2 linked regions of the Neodiprion lecontei genome follow. The protein of the gene in region 1 interacts with the protein of each later gene in a pairwise test. Links are inferred from orthologs where the notes say so. Each region holds a gene or a part of one and is shown on either strand. Other genes may lie near its edges. The genes, in order: phosphatidylinositol-3-phosphatase SAC1 and vesicle-associated membrane protein-associated protein A.

Region 1 (12,545 bases):
TCAGAAGCACAAGGAAATCATTGATAAATAAATCAACTATGATTTATTCACCTGTACAGACAAGCGAGCAGCTAGGGCAGCCTGGGCCCTGTTTTGGTCCAACCGGGTCATAGCTGTGAAGTTTTCCTTTGGAATTGAAGGCGCATAGTGCGAGCAAATTAAAGCATTGGTATTTGCCGGATTGCCAACAACCAATACTTTGACGTCTTTTCGTGCAAATTTATCCAGTGCCTCTCCTTGTACTTTGAAGATTTTCACATTAGCTGATAACAGATCCTTGCGCTCCATGCCCTGTTTCCTTGGCATTGCGCCAACAAGGAAAGCTGCTGCTGCATCCTTAAATGCTACTGCTGGGTCAGCCGTGGGCGTTACTTCTGCAAAGTGAATGATATTCAAAAATAAGTAAATAATCAGTTTGTCACTGTTTACGGCAACTCAAGAGTTGGTAACTAAATATTGTCCGATTATTGGATATATTATGCAACAGCCAATATTTAGAGGCCACCTAGATATTTTGGCTGCTTGCCATGCTCACCTGAACTTGAAGAACTTGAGGATGAAAAATAGAGACGGTAGTATTCAGATGAATTTTATTGATGAGAATCGATGTATTTTTAGATGCTTGAATGTAAATTTTACACTACAGAAAATGGAAATTTCATAATAAAGTTATGTTCAGACATTTGATGACAACCGTACATTGTAAAGGACTATTTTAGTCTTTCAACTGATGGACAATAATAATTTTAAAATGAGAACAATACCTACAGATTTTGTAGAGGTTCAACTAAGTAGGTATATGCACAAGCTCATTGGCAAGCATGAGACACAAAATTGCTGTATTTATAAACAACCTAATTTTACTCGGCTGGAAATATCTTTCTAGTTATATAACTTGACAATATATTTTAAGCTTTGAGTAGATATGTATTTAGTATTGAAACAGGAATTCAAGTTCAATTCCCTGCTTCTAAGAAGAGGTCATCTTTGATTTTTCAGGTCGGTCATGTAATGGTACATAGTTGTTGAGTAACAAATGACTAACTGAAGACAACTTGCACATATCTGTTTTTCAGTACTAGACAATTAATATGGCATACTATGTACCAAAAATACAAAAAGGAATTGAAGATTCATAATGCATAATTTTTACCCCTGAGAAGGTTGAGTGCCAGATCATCCAGCTCCATAACGACGCCTTGAAGTACCTCCATCATTGGTGGAATATCCAGGAGTCTCAAGTTAATGGGCTGCTCGGGTCCAAAAACTGAACCAGCTGCCAATTGGTACAGCAAGGAATACGCAATTTGACCTGCAGCCCCGGTGACGACAACATTTATTGGTTCAGCCTGAAATTGTGGACAATAATCGTAAAAATTGTAAAGGATGAGAAAAAGCCTGACTACAACAACTAGAATGGATGTGGGATAATTTTCATAGTTTTATTTATAAATGTTCATTCATATGTTTATGTACAAATCATATCAGTCATGTGGCATGCAATTTGGGCACAAAAGTGTCATCCTTTGGTACATTGTAAATTACTGAAACATTGCAAATATACTTGACGAATATAAAATTTATTAGCTTACATCGGGATTAACTATGTAAAAAATTATCGACTAAGTTTGTCAAGTGTTTACAATATTGTGCAATATCTGTTGGTAGAGCACTTTTTTAAAAAGATTAAACTCCAGATTGTCTTATCAATTATATAACAGGTTTAATCTCCTGCTGGAATGATAAGCTGTTGTTACTTAATTAGTATATGCGTAAATATTCAGACACAGTTGGGGCCAAAAGTTCATGGGAAATAAAAGTGTTTTTTAGAGCAATGAAATTTGATAATACTAGAGGGAGCAAACGAAGCACAGTATATTTTGATTAATCTAACAAAGACCACTTTTGAGAGGGAGTTTTACCTGTAGGAAATAGGTTGCATCGTAGCAAATTCATCAAAATTGATGGAAATTAATTAACATATTCCTGAAATTGACCATAATACTCATTGACAGTGCAATCAATAACAATGACTCACGTCACAACATAGTTTTACATAGTTGATACACGAAGGTCATATGTAGGTTAATAGACCGCTATATCGTAATGTAATACTAAAATTCAATAACCCAGGCTACTTGATTTGAAAAAAAAAAAAAAAAAAAATCGATTGAAAAATAGCAATTAGTCTTACCATTTTAAATGCAGGACGCGAATGGAAACACTTGCGAGTAAAAAAATGTATCAAGAGTAGATATGAATTTTTCTCAACTTTCAAGTAAATGCAAGGAGTAGATCACAGAACGAATGAGAACGAACAAGCTTCGCTTCAACTACTGATAAACTGAGAGGCTGAAGTCCACTGTTCGATCTTTATTAGCTTAACACGTAACCCACGTAACCAATGACGAGATAGCGTTGAATATGTTAAGCTCAATCCACGTCAAAGCCAGCTACCAAGTATCTTTCCACCCACCAGCAGTAGGCGATTAACTCGATACTCAAAACGTGGACGTTGTATTTAGTGAAACTACAACTAGATGACGCTAGTATCGTCGTTTCTCAGTAGAATTCTCATCTGATATCCCAAATGGTTCGAGATTCTGTGTCTTGATGACTTTACTGCTCATGTGCTACGTGAAAGATCAAAATGTCAAATATCAATCCTTGTCAATTGAAGATTGGAAAAATTCACCCAGGCTTAGTATACATCGATATTTACCAGCTACCTACCGTACTAAGTGGTAGCGGTACGACTGGGCGCAGGATTTGTACAAAGTTAGGGTGTGTTTCTTCGCTGGCATTTTCATCCCGTTTCATATGTACCGATCCGTTGACTGAAGAATATAAAGACAGTTGCCCTAATCAGCTTTGGTGTGACAACCGAAAATCATCGATACAAGAAATTAATAATGAGAATAAATGTCTTCCTAAATTCGTAGCAAAACAGTGATTTGATTAAAGTATAGGTACCCGAGATAAGAATGTATACATAGATCATAAATAATAATAGATCAGATGTAATAATGATGCATAGACCAAAAAGTATATATGTATATGCGATCCATGTACGATATTAATATATTTACATTTGAGAATTCGTCACGAAGAGACACAATTTTGACATGTGTGTAAAGCTTGTTGGTATGTGTACACATGTGCAAAATTGTGTCTCTTCGCGACGAATTCTCAAATGTAAACATATTCAATGGCACACGAAAACAACAATCTTCGAAATACAGGTGATGAGAGAAATTAATGACATGTAGTCAGGGCGGCTAGGTGGTCTAGTGGAGTAAGTCTCCGGTAAAGCATCTCTAGATACCAAATTCGATTGCTGGCTCTGTCGTTAATTTTTCAACTCACCTGAAAATTTCGAAATTGTACTTTTATCTAGCTAAGATATCAATATATATGATCCATTTACGATTAATACGTGATGCATACTATAAATTTTATAATTTTCCAGGTGACAAACTAGATTATCTACAATAATACGGCTATAATATGAAAATACAAGAATTATTCATTTCGAAATGGGATTCGATTCGACACGCGCTCGATGTATTCCATAACATTAATATTCCTAATTATTCCAACAACTGTTCAATTGCTCTCTCGATCTTTAATTTTCGTAGGCATAGAATCGAAACTCTGTTTTAGGTAGTCGCAAGTGAAGTATCTGCGTTGGGTAGAAAAGCAGAATTGTTTTTCGAAAAGTGTTCGTATGGAAAAAAATTCAGAGTAACTGTAAACATCACGGATGCGCTAATTTTGATCGAGATGAAATATATGCTCCGTACAAGAGACAGTATTTAACGCAGTGTCCTGATTGAAAGACCTAAAAAGGTGATTGTTGGCAATTTTGTTTCTTGATAGGGAAAAGATAGAACGAAGCTTCTTAAATCTTCGAGTATATTTTGACACACATTCGAAAGGTACGAGCAAAAATTGTTTTCATCCAACTGTCGCAGAACGACAGCGTTATTAGCTGACCCGTAGACTGAAGAATATATCTTTAGTCAACGGCTGACCACGAAGGGCCTAGCCGCTTGAGTCTCGAAACGGCAGGAAAGATAAAGTACGTATTTCTTGTCTGAAATGTAAAAACTGAAATCATTATACATCATATCATATTGTAACGTACTTTGACGTTACGGAAAATAAATATGGATCCGCGAGTTTAATTATCAAGTCAAAAGAAATCAAGAGCGTGAATAAAATGTTGTGAAAATGCTTTAATGCAAGATATGTGTTTCTCGTTTAAAGTCTGAAACAAGACTGTTTATACAATAATGTTGGTTGACGTAGCAACCTTATTCTTTTGAAAGACATAAGAGGTTTATAAACGTCTTTTATCTATGCTGACTACTAGATCATTAAAGAGGGGGCAAAACGGGTGATTTCACCCTTTGTAACAATATCATTATACATCATATCATATCATCATACATCATACATCATACTTCATACATCATACTTCATACATCATACATAGTAATAAAGTTCGAAACCAAAGTTCGGATGTTCAGAAAGTGACGTCACCCAAAATTTTTTTTCCCTTGACGTCATTGATCTATAGTAATCAGCTAGCCGAATTCCTCAGTCTGGAAACAATCGCGCAGTAGAGCGGACGGATCACAATCGCGCTCCGCAGATTTCGAGTACCGAGTTCTCTTATCTCCTGGATCCTGCGCTCCGGGTCCGCTTTCTGGTGCAATTCGAGTTCCAGGACAACCGCTCCGTAGTTTCTATGCTCCAGGTCGGCTACCTGGTGAAACTCGACTTCAGGGACAAGCGCTCCTTAGTTCTGGCTATCCAGGTTCTTGACCTGGTAAGTTTTGACCAAGCGCCGCGTAGTTTCTGCGCACCAGGTCCGCTACCTGGTGAAACTCGACTTCCAGGACAAGCGCTCCGTAGTTCTGGCTGTCCAGGTCCTTGACCTGATGACTTTTGACCTTCCGGACAAATTTTCAAGTTTACAAGTTTGATTATTGAAAACGTCATGTTTTGTACTATCAAACCAATATGCATGCTTCAGATAACATTTGGAAACGGAAAAAAAACTGAACGAAACTGAATGTGATTTAACGTTTTCTTATGAGTTTTTTAGTTCATCGATGATAAAAATATATTTCAGTTCAAAGTAATTTTAGTTTTTACATTTCAGACAAAAATTACACAGTTCATCTTTCCTGCCAATTCGAGATTCCAGCGGCGAGGCGCTTCAATGGCCAGCCAATATGCCATTTTGCGACAATTGATAGTAAGTAAATTTTTTTTGTATCGTCCAAATGTGAGTTAAAATACGCTCAAAATTTTAAAAAGCTTCTTTAGTTATCTCTCTAGCAAAAAAAAAAAAAATAACCAACAATCACCGTTTCGCTTAAAAATTATCGTATTTGATTAATTCAAAAAAAAGTAGTCTTACGTACTCTGTACCGACTCAATCTCAAGCTTTCATACCGACACTACTTTGGCTGCTACGAATGTCAGTGCAAGCTCGTTAGGTAGAGGCGATAGAGCAGAAACCTCCTACGCTCCCAGGCCCACCTGGGCCCGCTTGCCTGCCGAAAACTGATACACGAAAATGTACCCAGGGGTAACTTGTCTTTATGGTCTTCAGTTAACGTCGGAGGTAAATAAGGCTGTGACTATGTGGAGATTTTTGCTTTTTAAATTGTGCGCCAGATGACCTCGAAAACAATTGGTTGGAAATCCACGAGGGCCTTCATATGATCGTGACACGCGATTGGTTCTTAGAGATGGCTCCGTAGGAACGCAGGAACACGTCTCATCTTCTTACGTTATGGCGATCACGGATGAGCGTAGCGTTTATGTAGAGTTAGAGGTTCTGCTGTCATCTTCATGCTTTTCACCACTTTTACCGGTTTCGTGATACCATATCTCTCCCTCCCGCAGTCGGGTCTCGTAGTTGCGTAGCCTCTGCCCTCTGCTCACTGCTGAAACGGACATTAGTAAACCAACATGGCGTTGAACACCGATATTTACGATGATCTTTACCTGTGAGTTTAAATCTGTCTTTCAGCGTTTTAAAATTACGAAGTAAATTATAGTAAAGTGAAAGTACAAAATCGATAAGTCCTGAGTCTACAACGTATGGGATCAATAATTTACCTCTCCTTTTGCCTAACGCGACTCTCATTAGCGGCACTAGGTTATGCCATATCATTCTGTTTAATTTATAATTACTTACTTGTATTAGCCGATACCATACATCATTCATTTGATTTTTAATTCATATGTGGTTTTCGTTTTATTTTTCTTCCAGATACGCAACGCCAGAAAAATTTTATGTCGAACCAGTTGGAACCAAGGAACTATTGGTAGTCGATCGAGTTACCCAGCAAATTTATACCCAAGGTAAGGCAATGGTGATATTGCATCCTAGATCACGTTGAATAAAAAATCAAATTAATGTATTTTGTTATTTTTTGATTCAAATTCTAAGCAGGTACAGCAAGTCAGATTCCTCCTACTGCCAGTCGTCGTAGAATATGGGGAATTGTGGGCACAATACGCCTATTGGCCTGTCGCTACCTGATAGTTATCACAGATGCGGAACGTGTGGGTACTATAGCGGGACACCAGGTTTACAAACTTGGGTCTACGGAAATTATACCATACATGCGATCATTGCTTCATTTGAACGAAAAGCAAATAAGCAACAATACCACTTATCTGGAAATGATCAAGTCTGTATTGAACACACCACATTTTTACTTCAGCTATACCTACGACTTGAGTCACACTATGCAAAGGCTGCATAATACTACGCCTGAATTTTTACAGGTTTGTCCTATTGTACAAAATCTCAATATACTGACAAAAAACTTTCAAAATGCTTATGAGCAAAGAATTGAGAATTGTTTGGCTGCTTAATTCTAGATGCCGATACACGAGCGAGCAGATCTAAGATTTGTTTGGAATGCGTATCTACTACAAGAACTAACTTCTAGGCCTGAGCAGCACAGATTCTGTCTGCCCATTATACATGGCTGTATCCTTTTTGACAAGTATTCCTTTTTTTTTTTTTCAGGAAAGCATCATTACCGTGAAATGTTCAATTCAGTATAATTTTTTTTCTAACAATACCGAATGCTATCACGTCAATCGTATTTAATTGGTTCGTGCCAACTTGAACTATTCATTGTTCATGCAACATCGGTATAAAATAGTGTGGCAATTATTCTTAGCAGTATATTACTCTCAATAATTATTTTCCTTAGCAGTGTGTTTATAGTTTTGTCACTAAGTACAGTAATTGTAAATGGTATTGCATTTAACTGGGGAATAATATCCCGTCGAGGAGTACATCGCGCAGGAACAAGATTGTTTTCTCGTGGGATAGACGCCAATGGAAACGTATCTAATTACGTAGAGACGGAACAGTTGGTAGAAGTGAACGGAGACCGTAGTTCGTTTGTTCAGACCAGAGGATCAATTCCGCTCTTTTGGCAACAGGCTCCAAACCTAAAATATAAGCCCAAGCCGGTGTTAAATAATCAGGAAGATCACCACACTGCTTGCGCACGCCATTTCGAAACACAAATATTTCATTATGGGAAACAGATACTAGTAAATTTGGTGAGTCAAACAAAAAAAATCTCCAATTGTTGAATTTATACCAACTTCTCTTACATGAGTTTTAGATTGATCACAGAGGAGCGGAAGATGTACTTGAAAAAGCCTACTGTGATATTGTCAATAGAATTGGCAATCAAAATGTCCGTTACGAATCGTTCGACTTTCACGCGGAATGCCGAAAAATGCGATGGGACAGATTGAACATTCTAATGGACAGATTGGCCCACGATCAAGAGCAAATGGGCTCCTTTACACTTTCCAGAGATGGAGCGTTACTCTCTGCACAGGATGGAATATTCAGAACAAACTGCATCGATTGTTTGGATAGAACAAATGTTGTACAAAGTATGCTGGCTAGAAGAGCGCTTAGTGACGCATTGAGAAGATTGGGAATACTGCAGCGAGTTGAAGACCATCCGTCGCTAGAATACTTGTTTAAACAGGTAATATTGTTATTCATTTGGAGATAAACAATTCGCTCTTCCCATAACCAGCCTCATAACTGAGATTAGAATTTATCTTTTTTACATATTTTTAGGTTTGGGCAGATAACGCGGACGTAATAAGCATAGAATATTCAGGTACTGGTGCTTTGAAAACTGATTTTACACGTACTGGAAAACGGACTAAACTTGGAGCCATACGAGACGGTGTTAATTCCTTGACCAGATATTACAAAAACAATTTCACCGATGGATACAGACAAGTAAACTTTTTATCGATCAGACATTAGAAATGACCAAGAATACGTAGTACTTGATTAAACTGTCGTGGAATTTATTGCATCTTGCGTTCTTCGTTCACAGGATTCCATAGAGCTTTTCCTGGGACGTTATATTGTGCAAGACGGTGAATGCCTTACGGTGAAATGTCCGTTGGACGCCGAACGTAATTGGCGATACGCTACGTTCCCCTTAGTTTTATTGGTCGCGTCGTCGATGCTCGTCGCTCACGCGATTCTCCCGTCCAGATACACTACAGAAGTATTACTTTACATGCTGTTCTGGGGTGCCATGGTTGGTGGAACGTTTGCGACAGTTATACACCATGGAAAGCAGTATGTTGACAAGCCGAAACTTTTATAGTCAACACGATATACCGAAAGGTGACGGGAAACCATAGAATTGTGATAAGCGTATTTTTTTTTTCTATCAGTTCTGGCGCTGGTGTCAGATAACTACATGTAACATTTATTTACGCCTACAGGGTTTTTACAAAATTATACAACCGTTACTAAAAATAGACAATTTATCTCACAAAGATATAGCTATTAGCCATTGTAATGCAAATCTAATGAAAATCCACCGATAGCCATAAATATAGGTATTTCAATTCGATGGTGAGACGTGCATTTCGACTTCAAGAAATTCTGAGAGTACTGACTTTACCTCAATGTCAGTTGAAAGTTATATTTCCTCTCAAAATTTTCTCAGTTTCATCACTCCTTCCATGTTTCTATTCTTAAATCTAACAGGGTCGAATAATTGACCACTACTGCATTTCTCGTCGAAAAATAACGTGTCTATGATCAGCTTAGCAGAAAATTCACCTATTAGCTTTAAATCTCGTTGTTAATTTACAATTCTACGAAGTTTATACAACATTTTAAGTAGAACATACTTAAAATTTTAATCCAGCTAGACCGCTGTAGAGTTGATGTAATTTTAGTCAATTATGAAAAAAAAAAAAAATTACGTATATATAATGTATATGTATATCACTGGATATTTAAATTTATGAAAATATTTTCTTCCGGTAAAAAATTATGCTATATTATCTAACCATGTAATCTAATTTCGTATTGGCGTCTCAGAATTTTCTCGGCGTGCTCAAGATTTAAAAGAAAAATTCTTATGTAATGGTGGACAAGGAAATATGAAATTATCGACTATCACTGGCTACCAAAGCAGTAAAATACCTATGATCTTGCAGGGTATTCGCGTCGTAAGTACAAACGTCTGGGTATCATGATTGATTGCCCAAATATCAGTAGAGAGCGATGCTGCATGGAGCAATCGTATTTTCCTTGGAACTACTGCTATTGTAGCTATTGTTTGCTAATTATCGATAAGTAGGCGGGATAATGTCGACTTACGACACGTAGGAAAAAGGAATTATGAGATCGGAATTAGGCAAGCGTAAATGAGAAAGTAGGAACAACAGCAAATTTTAAACTTACACTATCGGCAAATTTTTATTCGACAGTAATTATATTGATTTTCGACGGATCGTGTCTTGTAAGTAATGTAACTATATATATATGAAATATGTAAAAATACATTCAAGTTAATAACGGATAATTTTATCTATCCATTCATTTCGCTGATGAATTAAGCGGACGTTAATTACTTCCGACTATAAAACTGATAGAACAACATAACAGAATCTATCATTGCCCTGATTTAATCCGTTAACATTAACGATGACTGAATTATCCTTCAGATGACATAAAATTAAAACATGGTATTCAATTATCGCACTTCTATTTCTTCTTCAAATAATGTCAGGCGATATATGAGACTGACGTACGCGACCGCAACAATTTGCTAACTCATCTATCGGGTAGAATTTAGATTTAGGTAGAACAATACGGTGTCAATATGGGCGCGTAACGACAGCTTAATCAAAGTTGAGTATTTGCTGTCGGATTTTGTACTCATTGGCGGCCGTGTAATAGTTTCATTAACGCGTTTCAGCATGAGATAGAACATCGGTTATTTATCCAACCGTCCAACCGGCTGTAGCTGTACGTATTAACAAAGTTTACCACGAGTACCTTGTAAATTTATTATTAGTATTTTTATCATCGTCATCGTCGATAATATCACCAATATATATCTTAAATCTTACACAACCATAGAATCAGCGTTAGAATCACATACGCGTGTAACGTAATATAGGAAATTCTGCTGAATGAAGTTATTTCAACATCAAAGATTCCCTTTAGCGTCGAATTTTCCGATGTTTTCCCCGCGCTAGCTTTTCCATGTTTCATGCACAATTAATGTTGTATTAACTGTTCAACGTACTAGGTATAACGTATTTATAGAGGATAAACGGGATTCGCGAACTTGATCGGATTTTGGTGAGTTAATAATAGACAATACAGCATCGGCATTATGAATGTTGAATTTCCGCTGATTATAAGTCAACAGTCATATGGATACGCGAAAGTTCAAATAGCTGATCACAAGCCTAATTAAAATATGTTTCTGTCCGAATCCGAAAAAAAAATAAATTTCAGTCTCGAGAGAGCAAAGGCGTGAAATTCCCCGCGAAAAAGCTCCTGCGTTCCAAGTGGAAATACTTTTTTATTTCCTCTTTATATTTTGCGGATATCAAATTCTCCACTAAACAAGAATAGTAATACCTCGGGGTAACTTAATACTACACTTAAAAAAACAGGATTAATTAAAACTCTAAGGATTGAGCGAGCGGCTGAAAAAGAAAAATTTAAAAAAATGTCACGATTCAAACTAAGAAACTTGCAAAAAAATATACTCGTAGTGAAAAGAATATCATTCATAATCTGATGTATTTCAATTACACGCTGATCACAATATACACATTAAGCATATTAGCATAAATTATGTTGTCAGTCGAAATTCTACAAATCTTACACGTTGGTACGAGTTTTACCGAGGTATCTGCAGAGCGTACAATTTTTTATGGACACCTTTTCTTCGGGATGATCTCGACACCTGCTCGAGAGATCATCCAGGGTGTCGTAGAGGGCGAGATCTTTCGTCTCCGGTAAAGTTTGCGTCAGAAACCCGGCCAGAAGCAGTCCCAGACCGCATATTGTGGAGGGAATAAACCATCCGTATATTGCCTGAAAAGAGCAATAATTCTTGGCTGTGTGCTCCGGCTTTGAGTATATGCTGTACGAAAAAGTTGCAAGAAATATGCGAAAACAACGTTCGAAACGGGGTCGTACACTTTAGACTTTATATATGGTCGGGTGAAAAAAAATTCAGCGGAGATCGTTATTCACCTATAAAAGATGTGCGAGTTTGTCTTTTTCTGGAAGAATGTTTTTTTTTAGAGGATTTTAATGAAGTGAGAATGACTTACATTGAAATATGACTTTTGCGCTAAGCGTCTGTGATTTAAGTTGAAATTACTCTGTAAACACACAACATTTTTCTTTTCTTCTCAGAAACTGTGACCTGAGATTAGAATTTTTTCCACCAAAACGAAACGTGTGAAGGAAAGTTATTCGTGGATATCCTGTTTGTTGTTTCTTCATTAACCTGACAAAGTCCCCGGTAAGTGAATGATTAATTTTATCGCAAACGAAGCGGCGGACTAGACACTCGTCGCGTTATTCCGTAATTGAACTTTTACGGAAGGTTGATTTTGTAACAATTAAGTTCCATATCGGGTATATACTGACTGTAGGTGTGTTGTGTACTTGAAACAAACACAAACTCACGCGTACACAATACTAATTACTCAGAGTCGACTTTGACGAGGCCTCGCAGGATTCGCGCGACACGTAGCTCCGTTTAATTAAGTTTTCCATTATGGTGTAATTAATCGTTGTTGCATTGATTAGTTTTGGAATTACAATTGAATGAAAAGCAAGGAGTCGGTGCCAGCATTTTACCCCCTGAGGTACACAGAACAAGTCTCAAAACGCAGACTATAAAAAAAAGTAGAGAACAGGGCGCATATTATTGACTCCGGAAATCGGCAGAAAAGATCTGCAGGAAATCTGCAAACTTGTAACTGGACCCATAGTCTTTTGTTATTTAAAATTTTTTTCATTCAGACAATTCAGGATCTCAAGACAGCGCAAAGCGATGCCGAAACGCATAATTCCTTTCTCTAATTCTATTTTAATAGACGCTGTATGTACTTCAAGACGGCACTCACAAAGAAGTCGACGAGGTAAGGCGCGAAAACGCTCCCTGCATGCGCCATGGTGGAGCTGG
Region 2 (13,650 bases), on another chromosome or scaffold:
GCGCAGTCAGTCAAGTAACGTCACATTATTTCTGATTTAGGAGAAATTATGATTTGGAGGCTTATTACGGTTCTCGAGCGAGTTTACTCACTTCTCACATTTTCATCTCACGTGAGTTTAGTCACTCTATTACGGATCTCTCGAGTGAAAATGTGAAGTAACTAGGCACTTCCGGTATAGGGATCTCACATTTTCACGAAAGTTGACTCCATTTTGTCAGATAACCTAGAAAAGTTGTTGTGAATGTCAGAAAGAATTGTTGAAGAAAATGAACGTGACAGAAGTGTAATATATAAAATATGTAATAAATAATATAAATATATATAAGTTATATTGAATGGGTCTGAGGCATCGCGTAGTGTTCGTCGTATTCTGAGCATTCGATTTTCCCGATTTTGCATAATCACGATCACTAAATTATTCATTGTACAAGTTCCCACGTATCAATAACTTTTACTCTTTAACCAACAAATATGGAGTGATCTTCGTTCTTTTATGAAACCGATGGAACTTTCAGGCAAATCCAAGCAAATTACGCTCACGAGCATGCGCAGAACGATTCTCGACACCGAATTTCGTGTCGAGTTTATTCATGTGGATAACGTCTTTTCACCTCGTGAGATTCACCGTAATAGAGCGAGCCAGTCACTTTCGTCATTTTCACTCGATTCGAGAACCGTAATAAGCCCCCTAGTCTGCCTTTATACGTTTTACGGCGTGTTCCACTCAGAAGGTTTGCCCCGATGCCGGGCGACGCATGCACGGAACGAATGCCCCCTGTTCGAGCCAGTGCAACCAGTAGAAAACGCTATGAAATATATTTCTATATTTCAGTGATCACACTTTTTAGTGACTGTAGTGGTTGGATCTAACGGAATAGGCCAATGAAACAACTTAGTGTCATGTGTCAGAAATTGACACAAGGACAGTGCATGTTCAATCGCGTTTTTGAGACAAATCGGGAAAGGGATGATCGTTTCAATTACCTTACGATTAAAAATATTAACACAGTTCAGAATGATGTAAGCTTACTCGAGATTGCATAAGAATGGCATGTTGGGAAGTTATTATTTGTGTTCATGAATACTGGTATGTTGTATGTATGAAATTACAACCATGTATTAAAATTGTTAAAACGAAACCAATGATACAATAGTATATACAATGTTGTAAGCATTTATTAAAAATGTATGAAATAAACAGTAACTTCAAATTGTTAGGGCACTGATTCAGATGACAATTAACGAGGCAACATCTCGACATAACGAATGACTTGCATAGTTGTCGATTCTGTATCGAGTAATTTAATGTGCAAATCAACATCAAGAAGATATCGCATGTTCCAGAACAGTGTTATCCCAGGAAGCTGTTAGTAGACAATTTTGGTCCCATGCCAATCCACGAACAAAGTCACGATGGTTCTTATTTTCGTATATCACTTCCATGTTGTGGCTTGTATCGAACACCTTCACCTCTGTACTATCGCAGCATCCAGCAAATTGGTCATTTCTATGCAAATTGAATAATTAGGGCAAGTATAAAAATAATTTCAGTGTTGTAGAAACATTATACTCATGTACATAGCCACTGGGAATGAATCAAGCGAAATTGGTTCACACAAACCTGGCTGAATTGAATAAAAGCCTGTAAACTCCTCTAGAAAAAGCTCGAGGGTTTTGGAAAACAGGTTCACTATTTGATTGCCTGACATCAAGCACTAAAATTCTACCATCTGCATCTCCAATCACAAGTTCATGTACATTTTTCGGATTCCATGCTGCTGCAGTCAGTCCACATTCGACATTTTTGATTATACCTTGGAATAGTATTATGATACAGTCACTAATGTTACAGAGGAAAACGAATGTGAAATATTATCAAGTATCTGAAATTAAGCACTTCGCATCAGTTAAGACACTTTGTGGCTTATGTCTGATAATTACAAAATTGAAATCAATGCTAAAGTTGAATATTTGTGTAAAGTGTTTCAGGTTAGTTATTTTTCAAAAAACTTTGCAGAGCAAAAGTCGATGACAAAGGTCGATGACCATGATCAAAAATCTAGATTCATTAACAAAGAGGGATTCATAAACTGCATACATACAGCTGGCTGGCTTTGGTTGTCGGAGATCCCACAGTAATGCATCGTGATCAAGAGAAGTAGATGCAAAGATATCTATGGATTTGGGTTGCGCTTGTACGCAAGTCACTGTATCTGTGTGAGCCGGACTGAAAGTATGACTGGAATACAACTCAACCGTATCCCAAACTTTTATGCTGGAAAAATTAACGAAATTTCATTTACATTATACAAATTCATATTTTGATATGAATCAACCAAATATTAGCATCATTGGTTGAGTATGATTTATTGCAATAAGTAATACTGTTAATGTTCAAGCATGCGCGCAGTAATTAACTAATGTTGCAAAAACCATAAACTATACAACTGCTCTTGTAACATACAAAGAAGCACCTGCTGTAAGATTAACGAATATCAGTTACAAGTAACTTTTAACAAATGGAAGCCCACAGAATTGAATCACATTGTGAGCAGTTTGGACCAAGTAAAATGAGATTCAAAATCTAGAATCTTCATCCACAGCATAAGATGAACAGATCTGAGTTTTTGGAATTTATTAAAGGTAACTTATATTGATCGCTCTGAGCAATTTTTTTGCTAATACCAATAATCCATCCCTCCTGTAACTAGACGAGTGTTTGTATCGAAGGCTGATACGGATGTGATGGCATCGTCATGCTCAAATGAATATCCTAAACATTGTAACTCATAGTTGTGTGTGTCAGCCATCTCATTTATACTAAGAATCTGAAGAACTCCGCTGTCTTCACAGATTACAAATTTATTAGTTCCACTTAAGCATGCACCGTCACATACTCCACTTTCAGTTTTCATAGCGGTTGTTGCTTTGTCTCTATTGAAGTCGGTATGATCCTTGTAATACCAAACAGTGCCATTCCAATAACGGTCTGTCATATTACTCGCACCTAATATTGCGCCAATACCTGTAAATCATGGATTTGATTGCAATTGGAATGCAATAGTGTTACTTAAACAAATCTGTGAGGCAAAAATGAAAACAAGGTTTCAGTACTTTGATGGATGGTCAATTGACTTAATTTCAACTTCACAGTATCTCAGAGGCAGAGAATAATACGTAACAACTCATACTGACAGTTTGTTGCTATAAATGTTCTAGCGATATAAATTTTAGGTGGCATTAATGCCGGGTAACCTCAAGAATATTACCATCAGAAACCAGAATGAACTGCAGATGCCGATCAACATTCGGCGGTATATCGGCAGAAGTCATGTTTCTGTAAATCTCGGCATTTAAATTAGGATCCATCGCTGTATTACCGAACTTCGTTATTAAAAAATGATTAATACACAAATTTGATTAGTAGTTCTCAACAACTTAGCGCGTCGCACGCCTGCCACATGTGTGAGGTTTCTCTCTGTGAGAAGGCGATAGCGCGGTAGAAAGAGAAGGCTGGCGCTAGAGAATGCTGAGCGCGCATGCGCGCGATTAGACAAGGATAGAAGGATGGGCCCATATGCAGCTTTCTCTTTCTATCCCGCTATCGCATTCACCAACGGGCTACCTCCGAGCTCGCGCGGTCTATTGTTATATGTTTATGGGTGTATTCCGCCAGGGAACTGTGGCAGTCCAGTAATAGTATATTTATAATTTTCTAACTAGCGGTTGGTACTATTTACTGGTCATTTAATGCCAAAGTGTTCCATCGTGCTGGGCACAGTAACAGTGACGGATTTGATCTTCAATTTCGGGTGATGATTAAAATAAAAATAAAAATAGGTTTAACACAGTAATTTAAAATTGTAAATAAAGATAATGATTATATTTCAATTATAAAAGATCACAATAAATTATATTTATTTAGGATTTGTTCGAGAGACTATTCTAACGACAATAACACTCGTTTACTATCCAGCACGGTGGAACACTTTGGCAGTAAATAACCAGTAAATATCACCAGCCGCTAGTTAGAAAATTCAAATATACTATTACTGAACTGCCACAGTTCCCTGGCGGAATAACACCCATGGCAATCAGTTTAGGGAGTAGAACAAGAGAAACTGAAATAACAAAATTGTAGCTCCGCGAAAGCGTCTACTAAATAAATAACTGAATGCATCGAAGGCCTGCGATTGAAGAACCGGCATAAGCATGAACGACAATAGACTCATTCGATTGTGGCGTTTGGGCAAGCTAGCAGACGATTATTAGGGCGCTCTGTTGTCATACGACGATTGTGGTTGGTCAAAAGATTGCCCGATAACACATAAAAACATTATAATCGAACGTAGCTACTGATAAAGAGACGCAAACGCGGCTCACAACGAAGATACATGGAAGGAATGTCGTCGATGTGTTCGTTTAACTGCGTAAACATGACGTATTCGTAGATGACATGTGTCACGGGCGCATGTGCGTTCATGCGTATCGCGCTTCATGCGTAATTTCCATGTAAAATTTCAGGGTACTTCAAACGAGTGCGTTGAGAATTTCATCGGTGCATTCTGCTGGACCGAAGCTACAATTGGTTTATCAATGTCGTCGGCAAGTGGGCATGGAAATAAGCCGTTAAACTTAGCGTAGTAGTGAATATGATTAGCGTGGTAGAGGTCGTTGGGGAATGACGTAACGCAAGAAGAGACCTCAGCTATACATAATTTCCGTAAATGACGCATGCGTATTTTGTGAAAACTGCAAATCAGAATTAGTTCAACGGAATCCCAGCTAGTGGAAGTGAGCGCGGGGTTGCAAGGAGAAAATTTTCTCATCAAGTGTTTAATAAATCTGTCACATTACGGTCGGGACGAGAGGATAATACCGCGAGGCGAGGCGTTAAAAACATGGCTAAGCCCGAGCAGATTTTAATTATCGAGCCACAGGGCGAGCTGCGGTTCAGGGGTACGCGGGTTCTCTCATTTACTTTCAATACACACAATGCATTTCGCATATATACATGCTTCGTACTTTGTAGCGGTGTTAGCGACACGGACACGGATATCATACAAGCAGCGTGTGACTGTGTGCCGGATATCCGTGCCTTTAGACGATCGGATACTCGCATTTTTTATCGTCCACGTTTCGTCCTGTTCGCACTTTACCCGCAGACCTCAACTCCTGTTTCCTAACCCGTCTCATTTACGTCGACGTTGCTGTCAAAGTTTTATCTTCTCCGAGTTTACACAGCCGCTCCCCCCCTTGCATTCGTTCCTCCCCCACCCCCTTCCGCGATCCACCAATCATCATTTCCCTTTACCCCATCTTTGCCCGCTTTTCCACATGTCTCCTATTCACCCCAAGACTCGACACTCGGACTTTGCCTTTTCTCAATATATCAACGCTCATCGACAACTCTCTTCCTGCCAGCACCTGCTGCGCTTAATTATCATGCTATTTTCATCCGTCGTGGGAGTGGCCCTTTTATCAAAATATACTTTTCATTACCGCCATTCGTTTCCAATGTATATTTATTATCTTACAGATTGTCTTCTATTCCGACTCCTTAGCCGGTGCTTATATGTATTTTTAGGTATTCACACTCCGCTTACTTGGCCAGGGAATATGTCTCCAGATCTTCGATTACTTCTTTCCATCTAATTATTATTGCTCGTAGGATGTTCATTTCACTCGACATATAATCAGTTTGGATTTCTTTCAAAATTCGTACAATGTTCATCTGATATAGAATCGTCGATTTGTTACTTCTGTACTTTGGATCGGACAACGAATGTTGGATTTTTTTGTTTGAAATGTATTGTAAATAGTATAAGCAAATGAAAAAGGTATAATTGTTTCAATTTTGACAATACTTTGTACGTTAATGCGTTGACGAGAGGAAAGATTTTCTTACTATATCTTGATTTCAGCCTTTGGTAATAATCTTTTGTTAATGTCCAAATAATCAGGTTGCATTCATATTATATCACAATTGTCAAGAGTGATTACCTTGCGCTCAAGCAAACTGAGTTGCTTAGACAAGAGATTTTTGTTTCAGACATTTAATGACATCACCCTCTTCTAACTAATCAAGTAATCTTGAGAAATAGATCCTTGATCAAATACTCAAGTGGTTTTCATTGAAATGTGATTCACTAAATTCAAATTTTGCAAATTCATTCATTTTCATTCCAACGTGTAATTAGCACTACGGTATCAGAGTAAATGGAAATAGATGTTTGTTGTTTGGACAATTTACCAATACTCTTAGGCATTGCTAACGTAACATTTCACATAACTTCAATAGTACCGTCGTTGCAAGGTGATAGTATAATCTGATAAATTATGTGTGGAAGCAATTGTCATGCAAATGTAGGAATTGCTGGATACAGAATAAAGAATATATGAGAAACAGAAAACACAACACAAAAGTCGTACCAGCGCATGAGTTTAACGTACATGAAAATACGTTTTGTCTTCTTTTTTTTTCGCAGGACCTTTTACATCTCCGGTCACAACGTATATGAAACTGACCAATCCGTCGGACCACAAAGTGTATTTTAAAATAAAGACGACTGCCCCTAAGAAGTACTGCGTCCGGCCCAATTCTGGCGCCCTAAAGCCTAAGGGTGTCACTCAAATAGCAGGTACTTTCCATTATTCAACAGCAGATGGATTTCATATTCTTAGACAATCGCTAGCATTCACCTAGTCATTTTTTTTATTCGTTAAGAATATACTGTAAAAATTTTTAGATTGTCATTTTTATTTTCAAAATTTACCAAAGCAATTTTCATTGTAACCAGAAGTTAGTGCTGTAATAATCATTACAGAACCATAGTCAAAAAGTTGTTCTGAACCTGCTTCATAAATTGTCGTTTTTTTCTTTATCTTCTCATCTGTTCTGGACAGTCAAGTTTTTTGCGCACAGAATTGGCAAACAGTTATACAGCCAATTAAATTTTATAGATATAAAACGCAGTGCACTACTATCTTTCATTTTAAGCAGGTTTTAGTTAGAGTCAACATTTCCAATATATTCGTAATAGCTCTTGAGCCTTTATTGCATATTCAAATTATTGTATAATATTCTCTCTTTTCCAAACAATAGGCAAGTCTAATTACAATTGTGATTGTAGCCTTAGATAATACATGAAATATGACTCTTGGATGTTGCTTAAATTACTGACACATTGGCATATGCAATATTAGTTTGTTAGAAGTTGATTATTATTTCACACGTGTATATAATATTTTGTTTACTTTTAAATAACAGAAGATATTTCTTAATATAAAATTTCTTTCACAGTATGCTTACAACCATTTGACTTTGTTCCTGGCGAGAAAAATAAACACAAGTTTATGGTTCAAACTATGATAGCTCCTGAGGATGACGACGAAGATTTTGTCAACGAGTCGTTGGTATGTTTTGCAAGCCTGAAATACATGCCATATGTGCTTCTGAACACATTTTAAGCTTCCAAAATATTATTTCACTTGTCAGCGTACGTACAGATTTGAATGCATCAGTTGACAAAATAAAAGATATCTTCATGACTACCAAATAATTCTTATGCGATGGAAAGAAGTCTGATATTGCATTAAATATATTTGCAATAAAAAACGATAGCTATTGAAGAAACTACATCGACACTGCTAGCTAGTATTATACAAATATGTACGGATGTATAAAACTTATCGCGAATGGATCAGTGTATCCGAAAAAATGCTAAGCAAATTTCGAAGATAAGATAATACACGAAGCATGTAATTAACATCAATTTCAGTGGAAGGACATAAATCCAGATCAGTTAATGGACTTCAAACTGAAGTGTGTCTTCGAAAATCCAGTAAGCAATACCACAGCTGAGAGCAGCGATGCTGCGGATGATGATAAAAACAAGGGGATCGGCGATTCTGTCAAATCATCTCCCAAGGTGCGTTCTGAGACGATAATATCCTCCGTTTTAATTAACATATTGGTTCTAAAATTCAATTTCATTATCTATTAATCTAGCCACATGGAAAGATGGAGGAAGAACTAATGAAAGCGGCACTCGAAGTAAAGCAACTCAGGGAGGAAGAGAGCAACCTTAGGCAGGAAAACCTTCAGCTGAAGGTAAATCAATTCGCCATTTCACGACCATATTTATGACAATTTTATACCGATTTCTATATTTTGTGAAAACAATATTGCTATTACATGCTTCCACGAACGTTTTAATAATTACATATAACTACATTATCCGTTTCCGATGTTATCCGATGTAGATACGTTAAACTTCGATTTTTTTTTTTCTTAATTTTTGGTTGTTGTTTCCATTCTATACTACCAATATTTTCAAACGCACTCTTTAATTCAAACGCACAACATGCATGTTCTAACTCGTTTTCCTGTACATATTAAGTGTCTTTGTGGTGATAATTTGCTAACAAACGATTATACGTACACATAATATATCCATCTTAGTATATTCCTATTTTATTTCTTCAGGCTCATTCTGTCACTGTACGTGGTTTGGTTTACCCTCTATTATTTCATGGTATTTTCAGATTCATCATTCCCTTTGCGCTTACGGTCAACACTTTTCGTGTTGTTTTTGCGGCTTGCTTTCTCAGGTTTTTTTCCCACTGCTTTTATTATTTAAAGGCACTAAGGTTGAAGGAATTTTGCCAAAGAAATGACTAAATCGTCTATCATTTGGCAGAGTGATCATTTTAAATTAGATACAAAGAGAACACTGTCAAGTTTAAATTAGAAGTACGATCTATTTTCTGACCATGTTCAAATTTATGCATTGCTCAATTCTTCAGCAACATAATTCTAGTCATTATATTTCAGTTCTACTTCGCCAGTGTCAATAGATTCTATGTGCTCGTTTACCCATTCTAGTAATTTTACTTATTCTCTGCAAAGCCCTGATTTAGCCTTTTTCTAATCATTACTTACACCTATCTTGTTTGTTACGACAAGACGAAGCTTCTATGATTTGTTCATAATTTGTATATCATCAGAAATCGTCAATTATACGTGGTAACATTGAGAAAAGTATTTGTCAAGACTTCAGCCGATGACTTGCATTCAATCATTCGATCGTTATACTAATAAGTATAATTGACTGTGAATTTTCATAATAGGAAGAGCTTATAAGATTGCGGCATGCTGCATCGGGCACAGCGACTATTACAAGTGGAAACATGGCAGCGCTTGCGGGACTGACAGCGAACAGTGGCGACAAGTTAAATCCAACTAAAATTCCTACCAGTGTACTCATCGCCATTGCCATGGTGGTAGTCGGATACTTGCTGGGGAAGTTAATCTGAGCACATCTGCCTTGCCGATAACTCCAGCCCCCCTCCTCCCCCCTCGCCCCTCCCCCATACCCAAAAATTTTCATGGCTGAACCGCTGCGTGGTTCATTGCCATTAGCACGAAGCGTAAACGTCTCAAGTTGTCCTGTTAATTAATTGTTCAGTGAAAAACGAAAAGAAAGAAAAAAAAAAAAATTTGAAACCAAATTCTATCGTGGTTTACATTAATCGAGTCATCCTGTAGGGCATTGTGCTTACTTTTTTTTATAATGCAAATAAAATATCCGACGGTTTTTTTTTTTTTTTAAGCTTTTTTTCTTAAATCTCTTTTAAACTTTAATTTTCCATATGACTTGTCTGATGTTTCGAACGCGCAACACTGCGACCCTCGACTATGCGTATAAGTACATACAGTACAGATTTTTTCTGTCAATGAAATTTAATAAATTGAAATAATATGACGATAGCAGATGTTACAAGTATTGATTCTCAATTACGACAAGTCTATTCCTTCTTTCTTCGTTTTCTGTGTTTTTTTTTTTGTTCCTTCCATGTCTTTGAAACCATGTCGCCACTAATAAGTATGTAAATTATGGAATTATTGATAAATGTTATAATAAATAGTACGAATGATATTATGTTTAAATCAGACCGCATAATTGTATACATACACACACACACACACACACGTGCATATTACGCACCTGATATATTACGTCGAAACGAACTTTGTTGTACATAATGCATTAAAAGTGAAAATTCATATATTGATAATATCAGGGTGGGGGTGACGGCTGAATAAGTAGTGATGCGCAACGTGGCGAACTTGGGCATAATAAACGTCGGTGTGTAACTCTGGCAACGGCTTGCTGTGCGTAAGTTGTTGACGCATTCAATTTATCAACGCTTCAAGTGTAATTTTTATTTATTTATGTTTGTCTAATATAAATGAAACTAAAGATTAAAAAAAAAAAAAAAAAAAAAAATAAAGGAGAAGGGAGAGAAAAAAAGAACACGCAAAATACAATTAAATCAAAATAAAGGTAATTCCCAGCTGTCGAAACGATGTGAGTATATTGCTTAAATCCTTGAAATCCAAATAGAAAATTGTTTTATATCCGAGAGTGGTGCATGGTGTGCAGAGACATGGTTAATTGCAAATGACTGTTAGCAAGAAGAAGAGTGAAAAAAAATAAAAGAAAACCATGGGGAAAGCTGAAAATGTTTGACGGGTCCGATGCCACTTACATTAGTTTATCGAACAAGACGGCACATCGGTGCTTTAAAGATAGGCGCGAGATGTTGAAATTCGATTAGTGAAATGAGTTGTCGTTTCTTTGGTTTTATTTTTTTCGTTTTTTAATATTTTCAGTTTTATCTTATAAACGTAATCACGTAAGTGTCTCCTCATTTCATTCTACACTAACATTGTATCGCAAAGCAAAAAACTTTTTACAACTTTGATGTATTGAATGGAACTTTCATATGCAACTTGTTGAAAAATTCAGATTGTAGAACAATCGATAGCTGAATTTCTATGTTCACGCTAAAACTTATCAGGCGAAAGTCTTGTGGAACGGAATACAAAACGAGGGCTTATTCCGCCCTGTGAGACTCGCAGCTTTGATCTACGCGTGTGTATATTTAAAAGTGAACAGTAGGATTACGATTGGGAGTTATAATAAGAGTTAAATATGAGAGAGAGAGAGAGATAGAGAGATAGAGAGAGCAAAAGGCAGAGAAATAGAGTACTAGGGAGGGGTTTCATTAAGTGGTATAATAAATGGGTGCTAGGTTCGGCTGACTAGGCGGTGATTTATTCTCTAGCTGTAGCTAGGACAAGATCGATGTAATGTAATTGTGATTTAATTTACTACTAAATAAGGTAAACGTCAACGTTGATACTGCGAACGAGTGAACTTCTCTCACTATACTCGAGAAATAAGTTTTAACGATAAGTTACCTCACGCTTATAATGTCATGAGGAATTCCAGCTAATGTTTGAGAGAAGAACCGGCGGTCATCCTATTACAAGCATAAGTCCACGTTAAGAATGCGCAGGAGATTTGGTTTACACTTTCATTTGAACGAATTATTATCGATATAATATATTATAATATAGCGTGATCAGGAATAGAGCGTATAGCGTTTTTAAAATACCAAACATACTTTGTGTCCTGATTCTTATTGTAAGATTGTAACTCGTTATATTTCTGGTCCATATTCTGTGAATGAATCCGATATAAACGTACGAAAACTATTGTGCCTATTTAAGCACTTTGTTTTCTTTTTTTTTTTTTTTTTTAATGATAGTGAAACAAAAAAAAAAAAAATAATAATTTCGATGAATAAACGAAGCTTAAAATCACCTTAGGGTTGACATCAATTCCACGTAAGAATTTCATCCGATGAAATTATCAATGGACAAGTTTCACGTATAATATTTGATCAGGTATATTTTGCTATAGATCTCGGAAGTCAATTTGAAATCCGATTGTGCAGTTTTTTCATTTATTCGTTGAATTTTACGGATTAAAAATGATTCAAACATTTAGGTTTCAATTACTGGATGATAATTCAGAAAGTTCAGTCATAGAATTAGGATGGCTAGCAAATCACCACCCACGTTTTTTTTATATTCCCGTTGCGATATTGTTACAATAGGTCATTTTTTAATAAAAATTTACTTACCGATAATCTTACGAATTACGTTCGAGTTTTTCTACAACTTTAATTGCATTCACAATCGATCCAGTTTATGTGTCGAACGCTACTCTTCCTCTACATAATTTTGCTGTTAAAAACTTGACTGTCGTATGATTATTTTACACTATAATTCGACCGATTTTTTAATTTAAAATTTATTTTTCAATCATCAGTTTATCGTTCGTTACAAAGTTAAATGAACGTGCGCAAAGGAATTTTTTTTATCCAATCCGTAAGTGTTAATTATTGGAATCTGGTGAAATATGAAATGCACTTCATTTAAGAGAAAAGTTTTCGTATCGCGATATTTTCGCAGTATTAGGTTTTCTTGATTTTCATTTAATTTCGTTCTTCTTTTACAGGTAAAAGTAAGAATATATTTTCTTATGTTCTTGGCGTTCTTTAATAATTGTTACGAAAAAACAATCGTCGAAGTTCCGGGGATTGCGTTGAGTTTGGTCTTTTGCTTTACATTACAATCATTAAATGACCTGAAAAATTTGTTAAATTCTTACGAAACCTTCCAGTAATGATATAACAGTGGAATAATGTTTTTAGATAACATTTGTTGCCAATTCTCACTTCGTGTACCATATTGCGCAGAAAGTTCGTGTTTGTAAGGTCCTCAAAATTGTAAACACGCTATTTCAACAATATACATAATACATGTTTTAATACACTTGAAGGTGAAAGTTGTTGCATAGAGTAAATAATAAGTGGCATAATGTGTTGAATGTAAATGAATATACATTCATTTCACTTTTATCTCAATCTTACACCTACGTTCCATCAGACGAATTAAACTCATTCTTCTGGTAGAACATATCGCGCTTGGGATTATTATTATTATCGAATTTAAACTTTGATTAGTTGTACAAAATATGTATGATATATTTGAATTTACTCCAGCTCCCTCAATTTTTATTGTAATTAATCCAGACACCCAATGTAATGTAATAACTAATTTTTACCCAATTTCAAGCTGTTATCATATACATACATATAATAATGATAAAAAAATAAACAATAATATTAATAATAATGATAACCTAAGGAAATAATAATAATAATAATAATAAATGTGTTTATCGGTGAATCGCGATACTCTTTTTCTTGTCTCAGCTGCAGCCACGTTTACTTTTCTTTCCTTTGAGTTGCAATTGGTGGTTATAACAGATCTTGTTTTATTCATCCACGTTGTGCCGGTTGTTCGTTTCGCATGATGATTGTTTGATTCCATGTTGATTACTCATTGTGTAAATAAAATTCTTCGGGACAAAACATAGTTACATGAAGTTTCCTTGCGCTTAAATTCTCCTTTCGAATCGCAATCGGATTCATTAATGAAAATGTGATGCTGCGACATCTGGTTGCAAAAATAACGTTTTACTAACTGTTCGATTAAAAAATGAACAGGTCAGAATAGGTTACGAAGTTCAATGGGATGTTATTAACGATTGTTCAGTAGAAAGTATATTTGTGTAACTCAAGCATGTTTTACGCGTTTTTTCGTGCATGTTTTTCGTACACAAAGTACTTGTTTCTATGACGATAGGGTGACACTATGAATGCGCATGCGCTGTCGCAAACAAATCTGACATTAAGCGGCCCTAACCTCAATTCCGTGCCTCGTGAA

Evidence for each region.
Region 2: the proteins of phosphatidylinositol-3-phosphatase SAC1 (region 1) and vesicle-associated membrane protein-associated protein A interact in a two-hybrid assay, tested with the Drosophila melanogaster proteins (2 studies listed by BioGRID). The link is inferred for Neodiprion lecontei from reciprocal best matches to the Drosophila melanogaster genes Sac1 and Vap33.

What each region holds. Positions count from the first base shown.
Region 1 is NC_060262.1:36,980,614-36,993,158, reverse strand, and holds phosphatidylinositol-3-phosphatase SAC1, read left to right. Parts: upstream 1-5,844; 5' UTR 5,845-5,988; coding exon 5,989-6,026; intron 6,027-6,292; coding exon 6,293-6,384; intron 6,385-6,472; coding exon 6,473-6,813; intron 6,814-6,909; coding exon 6,910-7,021; intron 7,022-7,264; coding exon 7,265-7,608; intron 7,609-7,673; coding exon 7,674-8,051; intron 8,052-8,146; coding exon 8,147-8,314; intron 8,315-8,414; coding exon 8,415-8,693; 3' UTR 8,694-9,908; downstream 9,909-12,545. Other genes in the region: malate dehydrogenase, cytoplasmic, read right to left, coding at 52-374, 1,154-1,349, 2,195-2,197; organic cation transporter protein-like, read right to left, coding at 11,225-11,440, 12,487-12,545. UniProt on the Drosophila melanogaster protein: Phosphoinositide phosphatase which catalyzes the hydrolysis of phosphatidylinositol 3-phosphate (PtdIns(3)P) and phosphatidylinositol 4-phosphate (PtdIns(4)P). Has low activity towards phosphatidylinositol-3,5-bisphosphate (PtdIns(3,5)P2).
Region 2 is NC_060266.1:6,921,365-6,935,014, forward strand, and holds vesicle-associated membrane protein-associated protein A, read left to right. Parts: upstream 1-4,689; 5' UTR 4,690-4,903; coding exon 4,904-4,961; intron 4,962-6,490; coding exon 6,491-6,643; intron 6,644-7,305; coding exon 7,306-7,418; intron 7,419-7,783; coding exon 7,784-7,933; intron 7,934-8,013; coding exon 8,014-8,115; intron 8,116-9,134; coding exon 9,135-9,320; 3' UTR 9,321-10,294; downstream 10,295-13,650. Other genes in the region: methylosome protein 50, read right to left, coding at 1,323-1,509, 1,624-1,816, 2,105-2,277, 2,688-3,027, 3,272-3,371.